3 linked regions of the Tamandua tetradactyla genome follow. The protein of the gene in region 1 binds, or shares a complex with, the protein of each later gene. Links are inferred from orthologs where the notes say so. Each region holds a gene or a part of one and is shown in the gene's direction. Other genes may lie near its edges.

Region 1 (5,813 bases):
TTGTGGAAGAGCAGCAGCTGCTTGTGCATCACCTTGATCTGGAGGTCCAGCGGGGTCAGCTAAGGCTAGACTCAGTGCCCTCCTTGAGGGTCTATGAGCCTCAGTTTAGGCCCAGACCAGGGACATGTGGACTCTGCTCTGATGGGACTGAACTCCACCAAGGGAATCAAAGGAAAAACCTGACTTGATTTGCTAGGCATGAGTTTCTGGCATCCCCACCCAAGGGGTGATTTTTCTGTTATACTCCAAATCCGCCAACAGGAAAGGGCCAGGAATTGGAAGGATGGTAATTGAAAAGACCCAGGCAGTGAGGGGGCTGGGCAGAATATCCCATTTCTTAGCAGGCTGGAATAGCTGGGCTATTAAAACTTAGCAGGGCTTCCTGATTCAATGATGGAGAGAGGAACTAGGGAGAACGTAAGTGCCATAGATGGGAAGGTACACTGGGGTCAAAGGGGTGGGGTTGGCACCTTGTTTTCTTCCAGGAACTTGAGCTTGATGGCAACATCTCCCCGCAGCTTCTCGTACTTGTCCCGATGGGCCTGGAAAGTGGCCTGGGCGCTCTCGAGTCTGCCCCGTGTCCCTGCATCCCGGGGGCCTAGGCTCAGCTCCTCTAAGTCTGTTCGGTAGGCGTCATATTCCAGCCTGAGGAGGGGGTGATATAGGCTAGTCTCCACCCTTTTGTCCTCCACATATACTCTCTTTTTCTTCCTGGATTCTTATGACCCTAATGCCCAAACTTCCACCCATGCCAGCCAATTCCCAAAACCTTAGGCCCTGCCAGCGCTCACACCTGGCAGCCTCATACTGTTTGACAGTCATGAGTGTATCTTCCATGGTCTTAGTGACCAACGTGTTGATGCTAGAGACAAAGAAGTTCACAGCCCCTAGCAGCGTCTCCCCATTCTTGCACAGCAGCTTCTGCGTCTCCGCATTGTAGCCAAATTCCTCCTAAAGGCAGAAGGGAAGGACAGGACTTGAGTTACTGTCCCTGCCTGACTAAAGTTGTAGGGCCCTTCACTCCCCTCCTCCCCAAGGAGGACATAGCCATTAAATTACACTGAAACACCAAAAGACTGCCTCCAGCGAGGCTATCTCAGCCACAAAGGTAGTGGTCCACCCTGGGGATGCCTGGGGTAGGGACATGGGAAGTAGGGGTTCTCATAAATTCACAAGACTGGAACAGGGAAAGCTAGTGCAGCAGGCAGGGAAAGGACTCCGATTAGGCCGAGCACCACAGGCATTCTTGCCAATACAGAGATGGGTTACTTGTGAGTCACCTAGTACTCCCCCTACCCCCAACCCCTCCAACTCTGGACTTCTGTACACACCCTTAGGCTGCCTCCACAGGTGAGTGTTGCTGGGGGCAGGGCTGGGCCCACCCTGGAGGGGTTCTGCCTGTGGGCTGTAGGAGGGAGGGAGGGAGGCTGAGGGGTGACTGCCTGGGAGGGCCCGAGCCCAGGTCCCCCACCCTCTTTGGCCTGGCTGAGGCACCTGAAGCTCTGGGGACTTCTGGCTGAGGTCAGCAAAGGCGTCCCCCAGTGCATGCTGGGTCTGCAGCAGGCTGTAGAGATGGGCTGTCAATGCCCGGCCCAACTGCAGGACACTCTCATACTTGCGCTTCGTCTCACGCAGCAACTCAATCTGCAGCTCTAGTTCCAGGTCCACAGTCCGGGAGCCTCGCCCAAATCGCTCTGATAACAGCTGCTTTGTACACTGATTGGGAAGTGGAAGAATAAGTCAGAGACCCTAGAACCCTCACCACCTACTCAGGTACCCACCCCTGCATCCCCAGATGCCAGATCTCAGTCATAGATGGGATATTAGGGTCTCGGGAGAAGGGAAAACATTACCCAAGGGAATTATGAGTATATGGAGAGGTGCTCAAATCCCACCTTGTATGTGTTGATGCCCCATTTCTTGACGATGTCAAACTTCTCTCCAGCGATGCCCCGAGCCACCTCATCTCCAGTGCCAGAGGGAGTGGCACTGTGAGAAGGATGGCGTCCGGATCCTAAAGGACCAAATTCTCTGACATTAGCCTCTTTCAGATACAACCAGATACCTCTGTGGCCCCACTCATACTTCCCTCCCAGGACATGAAAATGACTTCCCTGAAGCAGCAGGGACTAAAGACACAGATTTGCCTGTTCACTAGGGAGAACTCATACCTTATGCCCTGAGACCCAAATCCCATATACATGTTCTGCCTGGGAGGGCCCGAGGCAGGAGATGTATATTCTTCCCATACTTGTACAGCAGCTTCTGTGTCTCTGCAGTGTAGCCAAATTCCTCCTGAAGAAAGAAGTGAGGGACACCTCCTTCTGAGGTGTGTGTGTGTGTGGGGGGGGGGGGGGCACTGTTGCTACAGTACAGTCTCTCCCAGAAACAGAAGAAAATGTACCAAGTATATTGGAGGGAGGGCGGAGGAGGAGAAGGGCAGGTTAAGATTGGTTGATCCTAATAATAGGAAACCTGGTGACTTTCCCATGTGGCATTCTAGTCTGTGTGGAACTTGGGACTGTTTGTTTCTCTAAATTTTAGAGTCTTAAATAGACCTTTAAGAAACTTCAGAAAATTCAAAATCAGTCTCAAGCTACAGAACAGTAGAACTTCTGAGAACTAGAAGTCTTAACCTGGTTCAAGTAGTAATAGTAAGGAAAGAATAAATGGGTGTATCTCAGGGGCTAAATGGCAAATGGGAGCATATGGACAACACTGGGAGCTGCTCTTGGACTGAAGAGGGTCCATGGAGTTCATACTAACGGAACCTCCCCCCAGACCTCCATGTATAAACCAAACTTCTCTAGACATATCTGACACTCCCCAGAACAATTCCTATCCTCCCTCTTCACTCAACCTTCCTGTTTCTGATCATACCTGTAGGGATGAGTCCATCACCAGAGCCCCCATAACCACCAGACACAATGCTGGTTTCATTGAGGTTGGGTCCTGACACCATCACCTGCTGGAGGTCCTAAAGGCCAGAGAAGAGAGGGGCTTCAGGAACACAGGGCAGCTGAAGCACTTTGACGGTAGGAACAAGGTTGGATTGAAACATCAAAGAGAGAGCACTCAAGGGAAGTCTGCACAGAACCAGAATGAAGATATGTGAAAAGATTAAGGGGAGTTAGCTACATTAAGGGAAAGCTAGTGGAATGAGAGTGACAGCCCAGGATCTGAGTTGGGATTGCTAAATTGAAACAAATAGGAGAAGAATCAAACTGAAGCACCTGCTCCAGCCCATCATCCTCAGGAAGCTGCCCAGCTTCGCCATTCCCGTGGATGGGGATCTCCATGGTGGCTGCCTTCCCCAGGATCCCGTCCGTCATGGCTGGAGAAGCAACTGGAGTCAAAGTCTCCACCCCAGGGCCCTGCAAAACCCGACACAGTTCTGGAAACAGGCCAGCACTCTAGGAGAAGAAAGCCTCCCCGGCCATTTTTAAGGTTTTAGAGGTTATCCCCAGGGATTAAATGTGGCCTGGGGCTCAGCCACCACTCCTCTCCTCAGGTGTATGTTTCTCCTCTCCAGCGTGCACATTTTTACACAGGCACATTCAGGCCTCAGGTGTCTTCTCACAACCCCTCAAACGCACCAGGACTCGGTTGCTCAATCATGCATTCAATCATTCAGTAGGCATTTAATGAATGCCTACCATGTGGCAGGTACTACATGAAGCTCTAGGAATGCAGCAGTGAATAAGAGAGATGAAGTCTGTGCCTTCGATGGAGCTTATCTCCATTCATGTGTCTCTCCACCGACCAGGAGATGAACCCTTCTCCAGGGCTCAGGTGTCCGCCCCCATTAGGGTATATTCTCTATTGCTCGGCCATTACCAGTCTTTTAATTTTCTTCCCTCTTACTTCAGGTGGTCTCTCCCTTCTCCATCCCATGCACCTTCTCCTCCTCAGCACCTCCTCACCAGGATTAATCAGTCGATGTATGTTCCCCATCTGTAGTAAAAACCTCCCTTTTCCAGGACACAGATGATGCCTTCCAAAGTCAGTTATGTCTCCCCAGGTGTGTGAGCCCGCCCCACCCCCATACACCTGGGCATCAGGTGTGTCTCCATCCTTCCCCTGGGCTCAGGGGCATCTTGCCGATAGGGCAGCTTCGTGCATTTAACTCCCCCTCGCCCAAGTATGAACCTCTCACCTCGGGCCGGGCCGCTCTTCCCCTCAGGGCGCCAGGCCCGGGCCGCGCGGGGACCTCGGGCTCCAGTTCCCGTCGCGATCCTAGCAGCAGGTCAGGGATTCGGCGGAAGTGACGTCCCTCATGGGCAGAAGAAGCCGGCCACGTCGCAGATTATGAGGGCGGTAGTGACGTTAGCCTCCGGGGGCAGGGCGCTCTTTGAGCCAACCCCTCAGTCCTCTGGGAATCGGAGAAAGATCACTTCCGGGGCGTTATCGAGAAACGGCAATGAAAGTGATGTGGTACGCGCAGGTGGCGTGATGGAGCAGCAACAGCAGCAACTGAGAAACGTGAGTGGGTCGGTGCAGGGCTGTCCCTTCAGCTCACATCCCTACCCCCGAAGGGATAACCCAAAGAGCTAGGGATTCAAAGGCTGGGAGTATCAGGCTGTGATGCCTGTGAAACCTCGGGCGGCGGGGACTGAAGTGACGTGTGGAGCCCCTTATCGCTGTGTTCCTGGCTCCCTTTTCTCCCAGTTGCGAGATTTCCTGTTGGTCTATAATCGGATGACAGAACTCTGCTTCCTACGCTGCGTGCCCAGCCTGCACCACCGAGCTCTGGACGCCGAGGAGGTGGGGAACTGAGTAGGAATTCCTCAATTATCGGTAGACTATCTCCCCTTCCCTGCTTCCCCCACCTCCGGCCCCAGCCTTTCCATGGTCTTTGGCTGTAGGCTGGGGATGACGAAGGAAGGCGATGAGGCCTGGTAGGACCCTTTGGCCTCTACTTCCATCTGTCTTTTTTCCAGGAGGCCTGTCTGCACAGCTGTGCTGGGAAGCTGATCCATTCCAACCACCGCCTCATGGCTGCTTATGTGCAGCTCATGCCTGCCCTGGTACAGCGCCGCATCGCAGACTACGAGGCTACCTCGGCTGTGCCAGGTGTTGCTTCTGAACAACCGGGAGTCTCCCCATCAGGCAGCTAGCTGTCCCCTCCCCAGGAGGGGAGGGACTGGAGGGAACCTCAGATTGAGGAAGCCAGTGGACCTTGGGCTGGGTGAAAGCTCTACAGAGTAGGTGAGGGGAATGCCTGAGAGCTTGGTATCGTTTCTTCTTTCCCTGGAGCCAATAAACTGGCTTTTGACTCCGTTTGATTTCCATTCTGGGCAGGGAAACTTTGCTTGCTTTATTGGCACCATCTTTTGTTCTGCCAGTTAGTGCATATTTGTTAACTTCAGACCTGGCAGCTGAAAAATTACCTTTATATGCAGAAGAATACCTCAACAGTCCCAGATCCCTGGTTAAAGCAGGATTTGTGGGTATAATTTCCAAGTTTGTAAAAGTAATAGAAAGTTGGTTCTTGCTCAGATGACAGAGAAAATGGGAGCTCTGTCTTGCTGTCCTTGAGACTTAAATGGCTCACTCGTGAGCTAAGTCTGTATTAATAACTAATTTTTTCATGGACTGTGTCTTACAAGAAAGGATTCTGCCAGGTCTCAGGAACAGTGGCAGTACCTAAGAGCAACAGATCAAAAAACAAAAGGACTTTTAGCACTACCTCCTGGGAAGTCAGTGGCCAGGAGCAGAAATGATCCTATAGAACTTCATCCATTTTCTGAGGTCATACTTTATTATTATTATTTTCTGTCTTCCCAAGATGAGGAGTAAAACCTTTAAACAAA
Region 2 (7,683 bases), on another chromosome or scaffold:
ACACCCACAACACTTATATTCATACATTTTGTGTTGTCATACAATTCCCTGAGTCCCCGCTCATATTTTTCCATTCTTTTCCCTATATTTTCTTTTGCTTGTTGGATTTCAGATGTCCCATCCTCCAGTTCACTAATCTTATCTTCTGCCTCTTGAAATCTAACATTGTTGGTTTCCATTTTTTTTTTATCTCTTTTACTGCGCCTTTCATTCCCATAAGATCTGTGATTTGTTTTGTCAGACTTTCGATTTCTCCTTTTTGTTCATCCCTCACCTTCTTTAGATCCTCCCTCAATTTGTTGATTTGATTTTTGATGAGATTTTCCATGTCTCTTTGAACATCCTGAATTAATTGTTTCAGCTCCTATATCTCATTTAAATTGTTGATTTGTTCCTTTGACTGGGCCACATCTTCAATTTTCCTAGTATGATTCATTATTTTTTTGCTGGCACTAGGCATTTAATTTCCTTAATTAATTTATTCTAGAGATTGTTTTCACTCTTTTACCTAGCATTTTCTTGCTGGATGGCTTTGTTTTCTATCTGTTCTTTGACATTCAGTTTAGCTTATTCTAGACCTCTAGCATAGGTTTTGTTTAATGAATCAGAATTTCTCAGTTTTCTTGTTCCTTGCCCTGCCCATATGGTGCCTTTTTTTTTTTTCCTTAGGAGGGTCTACTCAGGTATTATAGACTCCAGTCAGATTTCCCAGACTGGCCTCCTCTCCAGAGGAAAGAGTCACCTGCATCAGTTTTCCCTGTGGGTAAGACCCAGCAGGTTGCAAGGTTTTCCTATGAAGCCTCTGGACTCTGCATTTTTCCTATCCTGCCTAGTATGTGGTGCTTGTCTACCTGTGGGTCTCACCAGCATAAAGTGATGTGGTGCCTTTAACTTCAGCAGACTCTCTCTGCTGGGATAAGACAGACGAGAGGTTGTAGGATGGCTTTAATTACTTCAGTTTTCTAGTCCCTGCAGTCTGAATTCCTTGAGGGAGGGATTCCACATGAGCTGGACCCTACTCCTCTCCTGGGGAAGGCACAGGCTCCAGGGAATTACCTCCTTTTTCCTGACCAGCCTCTTTGTCTCTCAGACAAGCTCAATTCTGTCCTTGCCGAGGGCAGTTGGAGCCTAGAAGACTTACAGTTGTAAAAAAAAAAAAAAAAATCCTTTTCAGAGCAGGACCCCTGTTCCTCAGGTTTGTTAATCAAGAGCTTAAGTTTGTACATTGCTCTATGTATCTCCAGGTCCTACGTGTCCCCTCTTTTTTTTTTTTTTTAGGGTCCAGACCTTTTCAAGTATTTTGTGATGTCTGATCCAAAAACCTCTTTTTTTTTTTTCATCAGCTCTCCATCAGTGCCAGGGGAAAAACTAGTAACCTTAGCTTTTATTTGAAGTTTAGCTGAGCTGGGGGCCTATTTTTTTGTTCCGCTTTTTGCATGGGCAGGCACTGGGAAATGAACTCAGGTCTCTGGCATGGCAGGTGAGACTTCTGTCACTGAGCCACCATCACACTGCCCCTGGGGGCCTATTTTTAGTAGTCAGAATTTGTTAATTAATTCCACAGTGGGAGCTTGCTTGAGCTCAGACCCTGCTGTTAGTAAAGTCTCTTTCCTTTGCCCTCTGGAAAGTAGCCTGTGGGTTAGGGGCGCTGGCCTATGCAGCTTGGGGACCTTACGGTTCTGGGCGGGATCGCAGCTGGTCCAGCTTGTCCAGACTGGTGTATGCTGTGTGTTCGGCCACTGATGCAGCCCCAGCAGTTGTTCTGTCCTGTTCCTGGCTATTTACTAGCTGCTCTGGAGGACGGACTAAATTCCACACCTCACTAAGCTACGATCTTGGACTCCATCCAGGCCATTCCATTCTTATCCCCTCTCTGCCTGCTCATCTCGGGGGGAGGACACCAAGGCTGACATTGTATTCTGTACATCTCTTGTGAGTGGTTCAGATGGACACCATGGGTGATAAGCCTACATCCTTTACTCTGGGAATACAGTTCCCCATCCAAGAGGAAAATACTGACTCCTGGTGAGTGACAAATAGACAACTCCCCTCTGTGAGGGTGGGAAGGGGTAGAACCTAGGGCTGAGCCAGAACTTCCCCATGGTGCTGACAGAGGTCAGCAGTTTTAGATGATATAGCTGGGATCCAAAGAGATCTTTTCAGGCTAGGGCTATAAGCTATATTTTTATTTTTTAAATTTCTATTGATAAAACTTAACATACAAACATTCTTAACAAACACATATTTATTACATGGTGTACAGTCAGTAGCTCACAGTATCATCACATAGTTGTGTATTCATCACCACGATAATTTTTTGAACATTTGTATCACTCCAGAGAAAGAAATAAAAAAGAAAAAAGGAAAAACTCATACACTCCACACCCCTTACCACTCCTTCTCAGTGACCACTAGTATTTCCATCTACCCAATTCATTTTAACCTTTGTCCCCCCATTATTTGCTTACTTTTTATCCATATTTTTTACTCATCTGTCCATACCCTAGACACAATGAGCATCAGACACAAGGTTTTTCACAATCACACAGTCACACTGTAAAAGCCATATCATTATAAAATCAACTTCAAGAATCAGGGCTACTGGAACACAGCTCTCCAGTTTCAGGTACTTCCCCCCAGCCACTCCAATACAACATAAACTGAAAAGGGATATCTATATAATGCATAAGAATAACCTCCAGAATACAAGCTGTCTTTTACAAGAAGAAATTTCACAGGGACAAGTGGAGAGTCCTACTTGCAGGTCCCCAAATCATCAACTGTATAAGTATAGGAAAGGAAAGATATGATTTCATAGTAAATAGTGATAATAGCAATAAAACCATTGCCATCAGTAACAACAATGCTTTCCTTTTATGGAGCATCTACAATGGACTACGTCTTTATATTCTCTTTTTTTTTTGTAATTTTTTAGCTTTTTATTTTGTGATAATTATAAGTTCATAGGTAGTAGCAAGGCTAATACAGAGAGATCCTGTACACCCTTCAACCAGCTTCCCCCAATGGTTAAACCTTACATAACTCTAGCACCATGACAAAGCCAGGGAACTAAGGAAGTCAGGTACAAAGAGGAAATAATGTGTGATGCCATTTATATGAAATCCGAGAACACTGAAAGTAATTGATGGTGATAGACTAGTGGTTAACCGTGAGAAAGGATATATAGATTGGGAAGGAGCAGGAAAGAACATTTTTGGGGTGCTGGAAGTATTTTATATCTTACTCTTTTATTTATTTTTTTTACATGGGCAGGCACTGGGGAACTGAACCCGGGTCTCCCGCATGGCAAGTGAGAATTCTGCCGCTGAGCCACCATCGCGCCACCCAGTATTTTATATCTTGATCCAGGTGGTGGTTATATGGATGCATACATATTTTAAAATTAAGCAAGCTTAAGATTAGTCTATTTTACACACTTTACTGTACGAATGTTATACCTCAATAAGAAAGAAAACGAATCAGGGCACAGAGTTTGACAAGGTTGAATCTTTAGAGCTGTAATGAGACAGACTTTTTAAAATCAGGACTGTCGTGGGTAGCTGGGGAAGTTTATGTTGACCATACATATAAAATGTCCAGCACATATGGAAGGAAGTACCCGAAACTGCCGAGTTGTGTTCCAGTAGCCTTGATTTTTGAAGATGATTATATAATGATACAGCTTTTACAATGGGACTGTGTGGTTGTGGAAACCTTGTGTCTGATGCTCCTTTTGTCCAGAGTATGGACGGTTGAGTAAAAAATATATGGATAAAAAATAAATAAACATTAGGGGGACAAAAGTTAAAATAAATCGGGTGGATGGAAATACTAGCTGTCAACGAGAGGCAGGGGTAAGGGGTAAGGTCTGTATGAGTTTTTGTTTGTTTCCTGGGGTGACACAAATGTTCTGAAAACGATTGTGGTGATGAATCCACAACTATGTGATCTATGTGATGATATTGTGACCCGTTAGTCATACACCATGTATGGACTGTATGTGAAGACTTCTCAATAAAAAATATTTTTACAAAAATGTCCAGCACCTCGTAGGCTAAAGACAAAGAGCTGAGTTTACGTTTGTTCACACAGTCCACATTCTCCCATGGGCCGTGTAACCTTGTGACATTAAGTTACATTTTGTGGATTTAACTCTCTGGGAAATTATGTGAAAAATCAAGGGCCAAGGTGTGTTTGGAGGTGTGTGTGCGTGTGTGTGTAGATCTAGGATTACGGTAAGTCTGGAAAGATGAAGAGTTCACCAGTCTCCTCTCCCTCATCCCAATGCACCAATGAACTCTGGTAGCAGCCGAAACTGCTCCTACTCATCTCTCCACGGCCCAGAGGGATCTAAATAAAACGTGCACTTTACCTGCCTTCGGCGAGAAGGAGCCATGCCTCGCGTATCTCTGCCTGGATCTTGCTCCCAGAGATTGTTTTAATGGGTGTGAGGCACGACCTGGGCACAGGGAGTTTTAAAAGCGCCCCAGGTGATTTTAATGTGCAGCAAAATCCTAAACGCGCCCTCCAAGGCCGTGTTTCCTTCTCCACGCCTGACTTGCAGTCAAGAGCCTGCTCTCCCCGGTAGGGGCAAGGATGGCCGAGCTCCGTCGTCCTCGTCCCTCCCTAGAGAACCAAATAAACTCAAATCTCTTCCCGACAGCCCACCTGAATTCCAACCCGGCTGCGGGCGCTCTGCACCCGGCCCAGCTCTCTATGGTCTTTTGGTGTCCCCTCTAGCACTTTCAAGGCGCCTTCGCCTTCGGCGGGGGCCCGCCGCTCCCTCTCTATGGTAGCGGACCTCCAGGCTCCGCCTCGTTGGTACTCAATTCCGGAAGCTAGTCCGGATCAAAGAGGAGGTGGGACTCCCCTCCCGGAAGCGATCCACGTGCTTCCGTTTTGCCTGACCCGGCAACCTGGTGAGTTTCCAGCGTTCACCCGAAGTTGGGGACACGGGGGGCATATTGACCGATCCCAGGCCCAGGTGAGTGACCTGTGACTCCTGACCCCGAGGTGGGCCTGATCACGGTGCAGCCATTTCTGAGTGGCCGCCCTTGTGTGGGGGCCCGAGCGCTTCGGTCCCACTTGGGATCAAGTAACCAGGGCCCCTGAGGTTCGGTTCCTCGGCTTAGGGTGATGTTCCACCCCGGGCTCTCGGTCTTCTCCTGGATAGAGGTGACCCCGAGGGATTGGGCGTCAGGGCGCTAGGGCTCGTTTTACGGCCCCGCCGTTCGTGTGCTGTGTGACCTTGGATTAGGCAGTATTCCCCTTCGGGCCTCAGTTTCCACACCTGTGAATGAGGTGATTGGGCTCACTGAGCTCAGTGGGCTCCTCCAGGGGTGACGGATTTGTAGCTCCTGAGTTAGGAGAACGAACGGAGGGTGGGTGCTGAAGGTGACGTCTGCCCCCAGGACAGGGAGGCCAGAAGGAGATCCCCTCCACGGTGCCCGGATTGAGATGGATCCACTCAGGGCCCAGCAGCTGGCGGCGGAGCTGGAGGTGGAGATGATGGCTGATATGTACAACAGGTAACAGCAGCCGGCCCGGCACCACCCTAAGTCTTGGGGGATGAGCCTTGGTCAGTCTTTCCCAGGGCAGGGGCGGAGGACTTCTAAAAAATGCTTTCCTCGATCGAGGGAAATCAAGGGAAGCCAGAGGCCGGTGCTTACCCATCCCGACTCCTCCCATGTTGAACTACTAATGGAGACTCACTATGGCGTCACCAGAACAAATCAGACTTTTAGGTTGGGATGAAATTGAAGAGGAAGGAGTCGAGCCGTGAGAGAAGCTCCATTCCAGGTTCTGAGCGGGTTCCAAGAACAGTTGAGTGTTTGCCTCTTGATGCATAGCAGATGGCCATTTAGTGGTTAGCCTTTCTTAAACTCTTACTCCATGTCAGACATTTGCTGAGCATTTTACACCCATTATCTTTTTTAATATTCAAAATAATCCAGTGGGTTAATTTTATAAGATAAAGAATTTGAGGCATCTAGAGGTTAATTAACTTCCACAGGCTGGTCACTAGTAGGACTAATACCTCAGTCTGACTCCAGAGTTAGGGCTCATAACCACTTTGTAAATATGGAAACAAACCCTGATTCCACTAATCTAATAGTATAGCCTTGGATAATTTCTTGGGCTCTTTGATGATCGTGTCTTCAGCGATAAGATGTAGATAATAATAGTATCTACCTCGTAGAGACATGGTAAATATTAAATGTAAAAATGTTTGATAACCTTTTAGCATCAAGCCCAGCACAGAGGAAGAAGTCAATAAATTGTTTGCTGTTTTTATCAGCTGTAGCTCTCTGCTATCCATTCCCCCGAATGCTTGGTTCATCTTGGAGGCTATATGTCAGAATGGTTTTAAAATGTGGGCTGTGAAGTCAGACTGCCCAGCTTTATGTCATCCTCAGCAAATTACTGAGCCTCTTTGTGCCTTAATTTCCTCATCTGTGAAATGGGAAAAGATAATGCCTATCTCATAGGCTTGTTGTAAGACCTGCATAAGAGGATCCATTTAAAGAATTAATCCTGATGCCTGGCACATAGCCAGTACTTAATTAATGGTTTCTATTTCATTAGTCATCTATAAGGACTCAGACAGAATTCTTACTCACAAGGGCCTTCCAAGCTGGTTGGGGTGCAGATACAATTTACACTGCCTTCTTGGAAGCAGTGAAATCTTTATAGCTAGCAGGAACAGTCGAGGGTCCCTGGGATGCCACAGAATGCTACTGACCTGAACTTGTCTGTCTTTCCCTGCAGAATGACCAGTGCCTGCCACCGGAAGTGTGTGCCTCCCCATTACAAGGAAGCAGAACTGTCCAAGGGCGAATCTGTATGCCTGGACCGGTGTGTCTCCAAGTACCTGGACATCCATGAGCGGATGGGCAAAAAGTTGACAGAGTTATCTATGCAGGATGAAGAGCTGATGAAGAGGGTGCAGCAGAGCTCTGGGCCCGTGTGAGGCTCCAGACATACACACCCTGGGCTGCATCCTGCCCCTTCCCACTTCCTAATAAAAGTGCCCCCCATTGGGTGCCATCTGTGAAGACTGTGCCAGGCCTTGGCTCTCTCTGGATGGTCTCCAGGAGCCTGGAGTGTGGTAAAGCTCTTTCCTGGTTGAAGAAGGGGTATCTGTCACACTGGAATTAAAATTGTGTGTATGTGTGTATATATATCTATATATATTAAAATAAGTTTGACACTTACTATGTGCAAAGCAGTGTGCTTGGCACTCTGGAGGAAAGAAAGCAGACATAGCATCTGCCGGCAGAGGGAGTTTAACAAAGTATTAAGAGTACAGACTAGTATGACAGCTTAGGTTTGTACCCTGAGCATGTCACTCCTCTGGACTTGAGCTTCCTCCTGAAATGGGGATAATGTTGTCTACCTCATTCGGCTTTTTGAGGGTTAAATGAGTTAATATGTGTAAAGCATTTGGAATAATGACGGGCATAGGAAGTGTTCAATAAGTGTTAGCTATATTAAAAAAACAACCTGAAATTCCGTGGGAACAGGCAGGTAGGCATTTTCACAAATGATATAAAGGAATGATTTAGAGGCAAAGATAAAAAGTAGGTGAGATTTAAGAAATCAGCCTCTTGGTTCTAAAGGGCAATATCAGGAAGTATGTGACGTGATTGAGCCTGCCTAGGCCCAAAGCCAGGGAAGGGTTTG
Region 3 (7,678 bases), on another chromosome or scaffold:
CAGGTGGGGGCGGTGACGCCATCTCCCTTCCTTCCTCCCTCTTGCTGCGCAGCCAACACAGGGATTGTCAATCACACCCACTCCCGGATGGGCTCCATAATGAGCACGGGGATTGTCCAAGGTAACAGGGAGGGGGCGCGGGCTCCCGTGGTGGGGGGGTGACAGCGTGAGTGTCGTCCACCCGCCCTCTCGCCTGCTTTCTCTCCTCTGACTCTGCTGCGGGTCCGGCGGGCGAGGGGGCAGAGCTGGCCCCTGAGCGTTGACCCCCACCCCACAGGGTCCTCAGGTGCCCAGGGCAGCGGCAGTGGCGGCTCGAGCACGCACTACGCGGTCAACAGCCAGTTCACCATGGGTGGCCCCGCCATCTCCATGGCCTCGCCCATGTCCATCCCCAGCAGCAGCGTGCACTATGGGAGCTAGGCGGCCTCGTGGCACCAGGAAACCAAATGAAGACCCGCCCACCCCTCTCCGAGGTGGCTTCACCCTGTCGGGGGGAGCCTGGGCTCCAGGCACAGCCCTCTTTGCTATGGGAACTTGGACACTTTTTTACACAATGTTGCCGCTGCCCCCACCCCACTCCCCCACTGCCCCACCCCTGAGCGCGTGTCGCTGCCATATTTTACACAAGATCATGTCGCGGGAGCTCTCGGCCCCCTCCTGCCTGCTCCACCCTGACCTGGGTTTGACATCGTCCGGAACAGGCATGTCGGCCTGACAGCTGTACCCTGTACCCGGAAGTGTGGGCTGAGGAGGGGGCGCTGCCCCCCAGGTCCCCTCCCTGTCTGGCTGGGCAGGGCCTCCCTTCGACTACCAGGCCTTGGTCACAGTGGGCGTGGCATGCTGCTTTTTTTAATTTTATTTTTTTACGGAAAGAACCAGTGTCAATCCACAGACCTTTTGAGAAACCCGCCGGCCGGGCCGAGCCAGCAGCCCCTCTCCCCAACTCAGAGCTCAGCAGTGAGGGGCAGGCGGCCCTGCCTAAGCTTTGGGGTGGAGGCCAGGCCTCTGGGGCACCTGCAGCCCCCTCCCCACCAAAGGGTTCACCTCACACTTGAATGTACGACCCAGCCCGGCTGTCGGGAAGGCCCTCCGTCCTTGGCCCCTGCCTCCTGCTGCTGTCCTGTCCCTGAGCCCCTGTAGATCAACCTCACCCTCTCCACCCCCACAAGAGCTAGGACAGGTGTCCTGCAGGCCCCGGCCTCAGCCGCTTGTATCTCGGGAGGGGTGTGGTGGAGGGCAACCTGGGCCCGCAGCTAACCCTAGGCCTGTGTTTCCGTTGTTCTTGTGGACGCCCCCTTCTAGACTGGGGAGGGGCCTCACAGGGACTGTTCCCTCCATAAAACCAAACAAAACACAAAATAAACCAACAAGGAAATGTTTCAGCACAGGCAGTTTTCTTCTCCTTCTGCTCCCCTTTTTCTAACATCCCAAACTCAGACGTGGTGGAGCTCAGGATAGGCCCCGAGGCCTGCTGACCACCTGGAGGAAAGGGAGCCTGGGGTGCCTAAGGTAGGTCCCCAACTGCCTGCAGTGGCGTCAGGGCCAGCGGGGGCAGTGGGCAGTCTGTAGGCGTGGGCACTGCTCCCTTGGCTGCTGCCTGCCACCACACCGGACGCGCCCTGCTCGGATGCCCCCCCCACCTTTATATAAACTCTCCAAATCACCTTTGCATAGAAAATAAAAGTGTTTGCTTTGTAAGAAAAGTCTGGCAAGTAGCAGAGTGGTCTCGAGGTGCCAAGGGAGGCTTCATCATCGTCTGGGGGTGGGGGCCAGAGGCGTCTCTTACACAATTTCCCTGAAAGAGAACAGACACCAAGAAAGGCCCCATAACTCCTAGGCTGGGTGGCCTGGACAGTAGGTGCCCTAGCCCCAGCCCCAGCCGAGCAAGGAGCTTACCCATAGGTCCAGGGTATCCTAGGAGACTGCGGTAGACCGTGACAGGGAGGGCGGCAGCAGCGTGGTGGGGGGCAGAAAAGTGGCTTGGGGTGCAGGGACCACATGCTCCAAAGGCAACGGCTGGAAGAAGTACAACTGCACGACGTCCCTGGGGTCAGCACTGGGGCCGTGAACGCCCCACCCAGCCTGGGACCCGGCCACGCCCCTGCACCCTACCTTACAGCCCAGGGCCAGGAGAGCATGGAGCAGCACCACGGTGGCCAGCAGTGCCACAGCTGCCAGCCTGGTGTCCTCACGGACCACGGGCCACAGGGTCAGCACCAGGCCCGTGGCCGAAAGGGCCAGGGCCAGCGCCCCCAGGAGCCACTGCAGCCACGGCACCGGGATGAGCCAGAGGACCTGAGGTGGCACAGGCTGCTGGTGACCACTGTGTCGGGGCCCCCAAGGCGTCCACCACACCCCCTGCCCGGGCCCCACTCACCACAGTGGGGATGAAGACGAAGAGAGAGTAGCCGTAGACACACACTGTCTCCAGGAAGCTGTAAGGCCCCATGCGCTCCCGGGTGCCCGCGCGCCACCGTAGGAAGCCCCATAGTGCCAGTGGCACCAGCCAAGCATAACAGTAGATGGCAGTGCCAGCCACGGTCACTGTGGGGAGGGCCACCACAGCTAATTAGCCCCAGGCCTCCCCTGGCCCCCACCTGCTGGGCCAGCCTGCCTGCCTTACCCTTGTGGAACTGGGGGCTGTAGTGGATAGAGGGATCCCTCCTCTGGGCCAGCACCAATGTCAGGTTGCCAGTGATGGCCAGGACGAAGGCCAGGGTGGCGCAGATCCAGAAGGGACCTAGGGGCAGGGCAGGGTGCCATCAGGGTCCCCGGCCCAGCGCTGTTCACTCTTCCTGGAATGCTCTTCTCTGGATCCCCCCACTGCCTCCTCCAAGAGGCCTCCCCCCTGACTACCCAGGCAAAGTAACGATGCTCTGTACCCTCTCAGCTGCTTGGCTTCTCCTCCTGCCACCTGGCACCCGCTACTTTCCATCACCCCTGCAGTCTTTTATGTCTCCGTCTCCCTAAACAGGAGATCTAAGTTTCATACTCTGTGAACGACTGCTTTGTGCTCAGCTGTACCCCCAGGGCCTGGGGCTCAGTCCTCACTTGTTGAGTGAATAATTCCATGAACTGAAGAAGGCACAACCTCACTCACCATACAGGTCCGGCCGATTCCGCAGATGGTGCCGTACAAAGTTGTGGCCAGGCCGGGGCAGCAGCGAGCCTCGGATCCGGTCCAGCACCTGCGGGGAACAAGGCCAGCCCAGATGGGGAAGCCTACCAGTGGCTCCCCACCACCCTCAGAAGGAAGGGGCCATCCTGCCCCCTTACAAACCCCCAATCTCCTCTCTCCACACCCAACCTGAAAGAGGTCACCTCTGCCTTCTGGGCTTCTACAAAGACTGTTTCGTGGTCTGGAGCCCCTTCCCCTGGCCAGCTCCCGCCTCTTCCGGGCCTGCCATCTTCCCGTTTGCTTCCCCTCCTCTTGGTTTGGCTGCTCTGAACTGCTCTCACTGCCTCCCCTCCTACCCAGTCAGGTCAGTCAGCGAGTCCTAGGCGTTTTCCTTCCCACATCTCCCTCCAATAGGTCCCCTCCTCTGCAGCCCTGCTTTGTCATCACCCCCTCCCTAGCCTCCAATCCATATTCTGTGGCATGCCTACTCATCCCACTTTTCCTCTAAACCCTTCCAAATGCCTCCTCACTCTCACGATAAAACCTGGACACCTTACCCTAGCTCACAAGGTCCTCTGTGATCTGACTTCTGCCTGCCTGTCCCACTTCATCTTGCAGCACCGCCTCCTACTTCATACTCTCCAAGAAGATTCAGTGGCTTGCAGCTTCTGCAACTGTCCATGCATTCACTCACCCCTGCCCCTCTGCATAAGCTGCTCCCTGTGCCTGGATTCCCTCCACTCTCCCCCAGTAAATTTTTCTTCTTTAAGTCTCAGCCAGTTCCTCACCTCCAGGGAGCCTTCCTTTGACCCACCCAACCATGAATGCCAGTCACCCTCTACCAGTCCCTGTTCATCCATGTCAGTGTCGTCAGCACCCTGCCTCAGGCCTGGTGTATGGGAAGTCCTCAATGAGTACCAACTGAACCCCAAGCCTGACTCCAAACCCCCTCCCTCCAGCTTTCCACATCTAACCTGTGAGGTGTCCACATCAAAGAAGCTCTGATAGTAGCTAAAGGTCCAGAATCCCGGCTGTTGCTTCTCCTCCTGCAGAAGCTGCACAACACGGCCTTTCAGCGCCTGCCCTTACCGCCTGGGTCAGCAGGCACGGCTTGAGGGCAGGACATGAAGGACTTGGATGACTCACCGCGGTCTTGTCACTCTCCTCCATTTCCTCCTCAGCTCCATAGCTGCCACCTGAGCCTACGGCCACTGCCACGTGCCCCGGCGGGGTGAGCTGATCGCTCCTGCTGACAGTGGTTGCGTCTGGGGTCTCCGCCAGCAGATCAGTGGCTTCCTCGAACTCTGTGGAGAGTTCCAGAATATGGAACACAGGCATGTTTTGGGGTCCAGGGCAATTCAACTTGGCACTGTGCTCCAATCGGCACCTCCTCAGCGCCCTCCCCCAATGCAAGAAGGGCCTGAGTTGCAGACATGGGACTGCAGTGTAGGGCCTGGTTTGCTTCTGGGATGGGGCCAATGATCCGGGAGAGAGACTCTAGTTTGAGGTCCGAGTTCGGGGCCGGACAGGGTTCGAGTTAGGTCAGGGCTGGGATTAGGGTTCACAGCCGACTGGGGTTTGGGTTGGGTATGAGTCCGAAACCCACAAGGGAAGTTCTGGCCCCGGGCGGGAGGAGGAGCTCGGGCCGGGTCGGGGCCGCACTCACCGTGGAAGGCCAGCTCGTCGGCCGCTGCCATGGCAGTCCAGGACGTCACCGCATCCCGCTCTGAGAACAGAGACCGATCAGGCTCGCCTCCCACCTGTGTCCCCTCCCGGACCCTACCCCTCAGTCCCCAGCCCAGTCTGGCCGCTAACGGCACCCACCGGGAATTGAACTCGCCGCCCGGGCCGACAGGTACACCCCGCCCCCCTCACCTGAGGGTACCTCGGCCCGCGCGGTCCGGCCTCTCTGCGCCTGCGCGGCTCGCCTACATGCCAGGTAGGACGCCAACCCCGCCCCTGCTCTCTCAGCAACATCCGGCGCCGGTCCGTCTTCACTCCTCTTCCGATGGGAAGCCACTTCCGGCGCTGTAGGCGCCTTGCACAGAAGAGCTGCCCGGGCCTTTTATTTCGCTTACGGACGTTTCTCTTCGGAGAACGGACGCCGAGCAGGAAGAGAATGGCGGCGGCCGCTTTGAAGAGGCTTTGGTCCCGAGGCGGCCAAAAGGTGGGCGACGGGGCGGCCGGGAAGCCGAGCGTGTGGACGCGACTGGGTGAGTGGCGGCGGGAGACACCGAGGGGAGGCCGCAGCGGCCGGGCCGTTCTTACCGCGTTCCTCTCCCCTCAGGCATCTGGGCCCGCACGCTGCTCCAGGACTACGCCGAGGCTTGCCGGGACGCGGCGGCGGCGGCGCGGGCTCGGCCAGGGCGGGCGGCCGTGTACTTGGGGCTGCTGGGCGGGGCGGCGGCCTGCTGCTCACTGGCGCCGAGCGAGGCGGCCTTCGAGGAGGCGCTGCTCGACGCGTCCGGGACCCTCCTGCTGCTGGCGCCGGCCACGCGCAACCGCGAGTCCGAAGCGTACGTGCAGCGGCTGTTGTGGCTGCGGGGCCACGGTCGCCTGCGTCACCTGAACCTGGTGCTGGGCTCGCTCGTGTACGAGGCGCCCTTCGACGCCCAGACCAGCCTCTACCAGGCCCGCTGCCGTTACCTCCAGCCCCGCTGGGTCGACTTTCCTAGCCGAATCCTGGATGTGGGCTTCATGGGCCGCTGGTGGGTGCTGGAGGCCCGGATGCATGACTGCGACATCAACGATGAGGAGTTCCTGCATCTGCCGGCGCATTTGCGCGTGGTCGAGCCCCGCCAGCTGCGCTCCGAGACCAACGAGAGGCTCTTTGACGAGAAGTACAAACCTGTCGTGCTCACGGAGGACCAGGTGGACCAGGCGCTGTGGGAGGAGCAGGTTTTGCAGAAGAAGAAGAAAGACAGGCTCGTCCTCAGCCAGACCGACTCGCTGCTGCAGCCGGAGGTCCCAAGATGAGGCTCAGTGAGGCCTGGCTCCAGACTGGGTCCGCAGCCCTGGCAGACTGTTTGCCTGGGATTGTGCAGTTGGTGTGAGGGGGCCTCAAATGCAGAGTGACTGAAATAAATTATGTGCAGTGTTCTCTCACTGGGTTTTTACAAATCGGGGAGACTCTTCCTCACACCTTGTTCCTTGTTAGTTGAAGCTAACACAGCTTTCTTAGTCTAGGAGTTAAGGAAAGCAGAGGATGTGAACATGTAATGTTTTCCACTGCCAGAGCTAGTAATGATAAACCTTTTTTATTTGCCCTCACAGCTCCACCCCTGCTGAGGTACCACATTAGTTGTTAGGTGATTCCCAAAGTCACCTATGACCATTCAGGCTCCTCTTTTTAAAATTGAGCTGGGGGTGGTGCAAGAGTAATTCAGTGGTAGAATTCTCTTTGCCTGCCATGCAGGAGACCTGGGTTTGATTCCCGCTCTGTGTACTTCCCAAACAAACAAACAAAAAAACCTACCAAACAAAAATTCAATAAATGGTGCTGCAGTGATGAGGTACTCACATTGAAAAGTAATGAAATGTAACCCAGCCATACAGCATACAATAAAAAAAATTGAGCTGAAACATTTTTCTCCTATGATCTGTTCTCCTTTTAATTTTTATAACAATTCCTGTTTTAACTTTTTACTTGTTTTGAAATAATTCTCTCACAGGAAATTGGAACAATAGTGGAGACAAGCCCACATACCTCAGGTGGTAACATCTTCCAGAACTAATGCAGTAACAAAGCCAGGTCATTGACATTTATTTGGCCATTTGGGTTTTTCAGAGAAACTTTTTTGCAAAAACAATCTTTTTACCATATGTGTATTGACAACAACTTTAAAGTGGCTTTGAGGGACAAAGCATTTTCTGAAATCTATATGGAGTCTTAGATTCTGATTGCCTTACTCATGGTAGCCTTGACAATACAGAATCCTGTAATGGGCAAGGAGTAAGTTAGCATACACAGCTGGTAGTGACTCTATCATACTTTTTTTTTGGACATGGGCAGGCTCCAGGAATCAAACCCAGGTCTTTGGCATGGCAGGCAAGAAGTCTGCCACTGAGTCACCATTACACCGCCCTAATCTGTCATACGTTTAAAACTAAAATGTTAGGGGAGTGAGATTCTACCACTATGACCCAGGTGGCCTGTGGCTAGTTCATAAAACTAGGAGGTGAAACAGCCGTCTCTGCAGTGATGTCCGTGTTGGTGTGTTTTGCTGCTTTTAAGTTTTGGCTCTTTGACCCTTAGTGCATAGCATAGGTATTCTGGACATGTAATTTTTATATCCTTCTTTTATGGGCAAGGGATGCATCTTGTAAGTCAACAACCCTATTCTAGAGAGGAAATAGCTGAGTTTCAGAAACTTTCCTTTTCCATTGCTGTGGGAGAGCCATGAGCCAACCTCTGTAGCTCCCAGTCCTGTAACTTAATTCTCAAGCTTTAGTCATGTAATACTGTCTTCATCTCAACAGTGTGCTGCTGGGAGTTATTACATGCTCCTATCGCTTGTCAGAAAGAAAACATGAATTCAGACACAAATAACAAAAATGCTA

Evidence for each region. Proteins that work in one complex are often made in the same cells at the same time.
Region 2: the proteins of TIMM10B (region 1) and TIMM10 are in contact, whole or in part, in a cryo-EM structure (PDB 7CGP), measured with the Homo sapiens proteins. The link is inferred for Tamandua tetradactyla from reciprocal best matches to the Homo sapiens genes TIMM10B and TIMM10. Residues at the interface, in NP_036324.1 of Homo sapiens: Gln7, Leu11, Leu14, Arg15, Phe17, Leu18, Leu19, Tyr21, Asn22, Arg23, Met24, Thr25, Glu26, Cys28, Phe29, Val33, Pro34, Ser35, Leu36, His37, His38, Arg39, Leu41, Glu46, Leu49, His50, Ala53, Gly54, Ile57, His61; in NP_036588.1 of Homo sapiens: Ala6, Leu9, Leu13, Glu16, Met17, Asp20, Met21, Arg24, Ala28, Lys32, Cys50, Asp52, Arg53, Cys54, Ser56, Lys57, Tyr58, Asp60, Ile61, His62, Glu63, Arg64, Met65, Gly66, Lys68, Leu69, Leu72, Asp76.
Region 3: TIMM10B (region 1) and TIMM29 share a complex: the UniProt entries of both Homo sapiens proteins name them as parts of the TIM22 complex. The link is inferred for Tamandua tetradactyla from reciprocal best matches to the Homo sapiens genes TIMM10B and TIMM29.

The regions. Positions count from the first base shown.
Region 1 is NC_135334.1:79,905,999-79,911,811, forward strand, and holds TIMM10B (mitochondrial import inner membrane translocase subunit Tim10 B), read left to right. Parts: upstream 1-4,329; 5' UTR 4,330-4,452; coding exon 4,453-4,482; intron 4,483-4,668; coding exon 4,669-4,764; intron 4,765-4,940; coding exon 4,941-5,117; 3' UTR 5,118-5,291; downstream 5,292-5,813. Other genes in the region: ARFIP2 (arfaptin-2), read right to left, coding at 1-38, 471-645, 794-951, 1,495-1,716, 1,896-2,014, 2,881-2,977, 3,234-3,332. UniProt on the Homo sapiens protein: Component of the TIM22 complex, a complex that mediates the import and insertion of multi-pass transmembrane proteins into the mitochondrial inner membrane.
Region 2 is NC_135335.1:20,056,857-20,064,539, forward strand, and holds TIMM10 (mitochondrial import inner membrane translocase subunit Tim10), read left to right. Parts: upstream 1-4,807; 5' UTR 4,808-4,919; exon of another isoform or gene 4,920-4,984; intron 4,985-5,411; 5' UTR 5,412-5,457; coding exon 5,458-5,528; intron 5,529-6,768; coding exon 6,769-6,970; 3' UTR 6,971-7,177; downstream 7,178-7,683.
Region 3 is NC_135337.1:90,946,877-90,954,554, reverse strand, and holds the start of TIMM29 (mitochondrial import inner membrane translocase subunit Tim29), read left to right. Parts: upstream 1-4,672; 5' UTR 4,673-4,784; coding exon of another isoform or gene 4,785-4,815; 5' UTR 4,816-5,126; coding exon 5,127-5,331; exon of another isoform or gene 5,332-5,402; intron 5,403-5,405; coding exon 5,406-6,094; 3' UTR 6,095-7,678. Other genes in the region: histone-arginine methyltransferase CARM1, read left to right, coding at 53-121, 278-420; protein YIPF2, read right to left, coding at 1,915-2,031, 2,113-2,295, 2,378-2,544, 2,624-2,740, 3,101-3,188, 4,093-4,173, 4,265-4,422, 4,785-4,815. UniProt on the Homo sapiens protein: Component of the TIM22 complex, a complex that mediates the import and insertion of multi-pass transmembrane proteins into the mitochondrial inner membrane.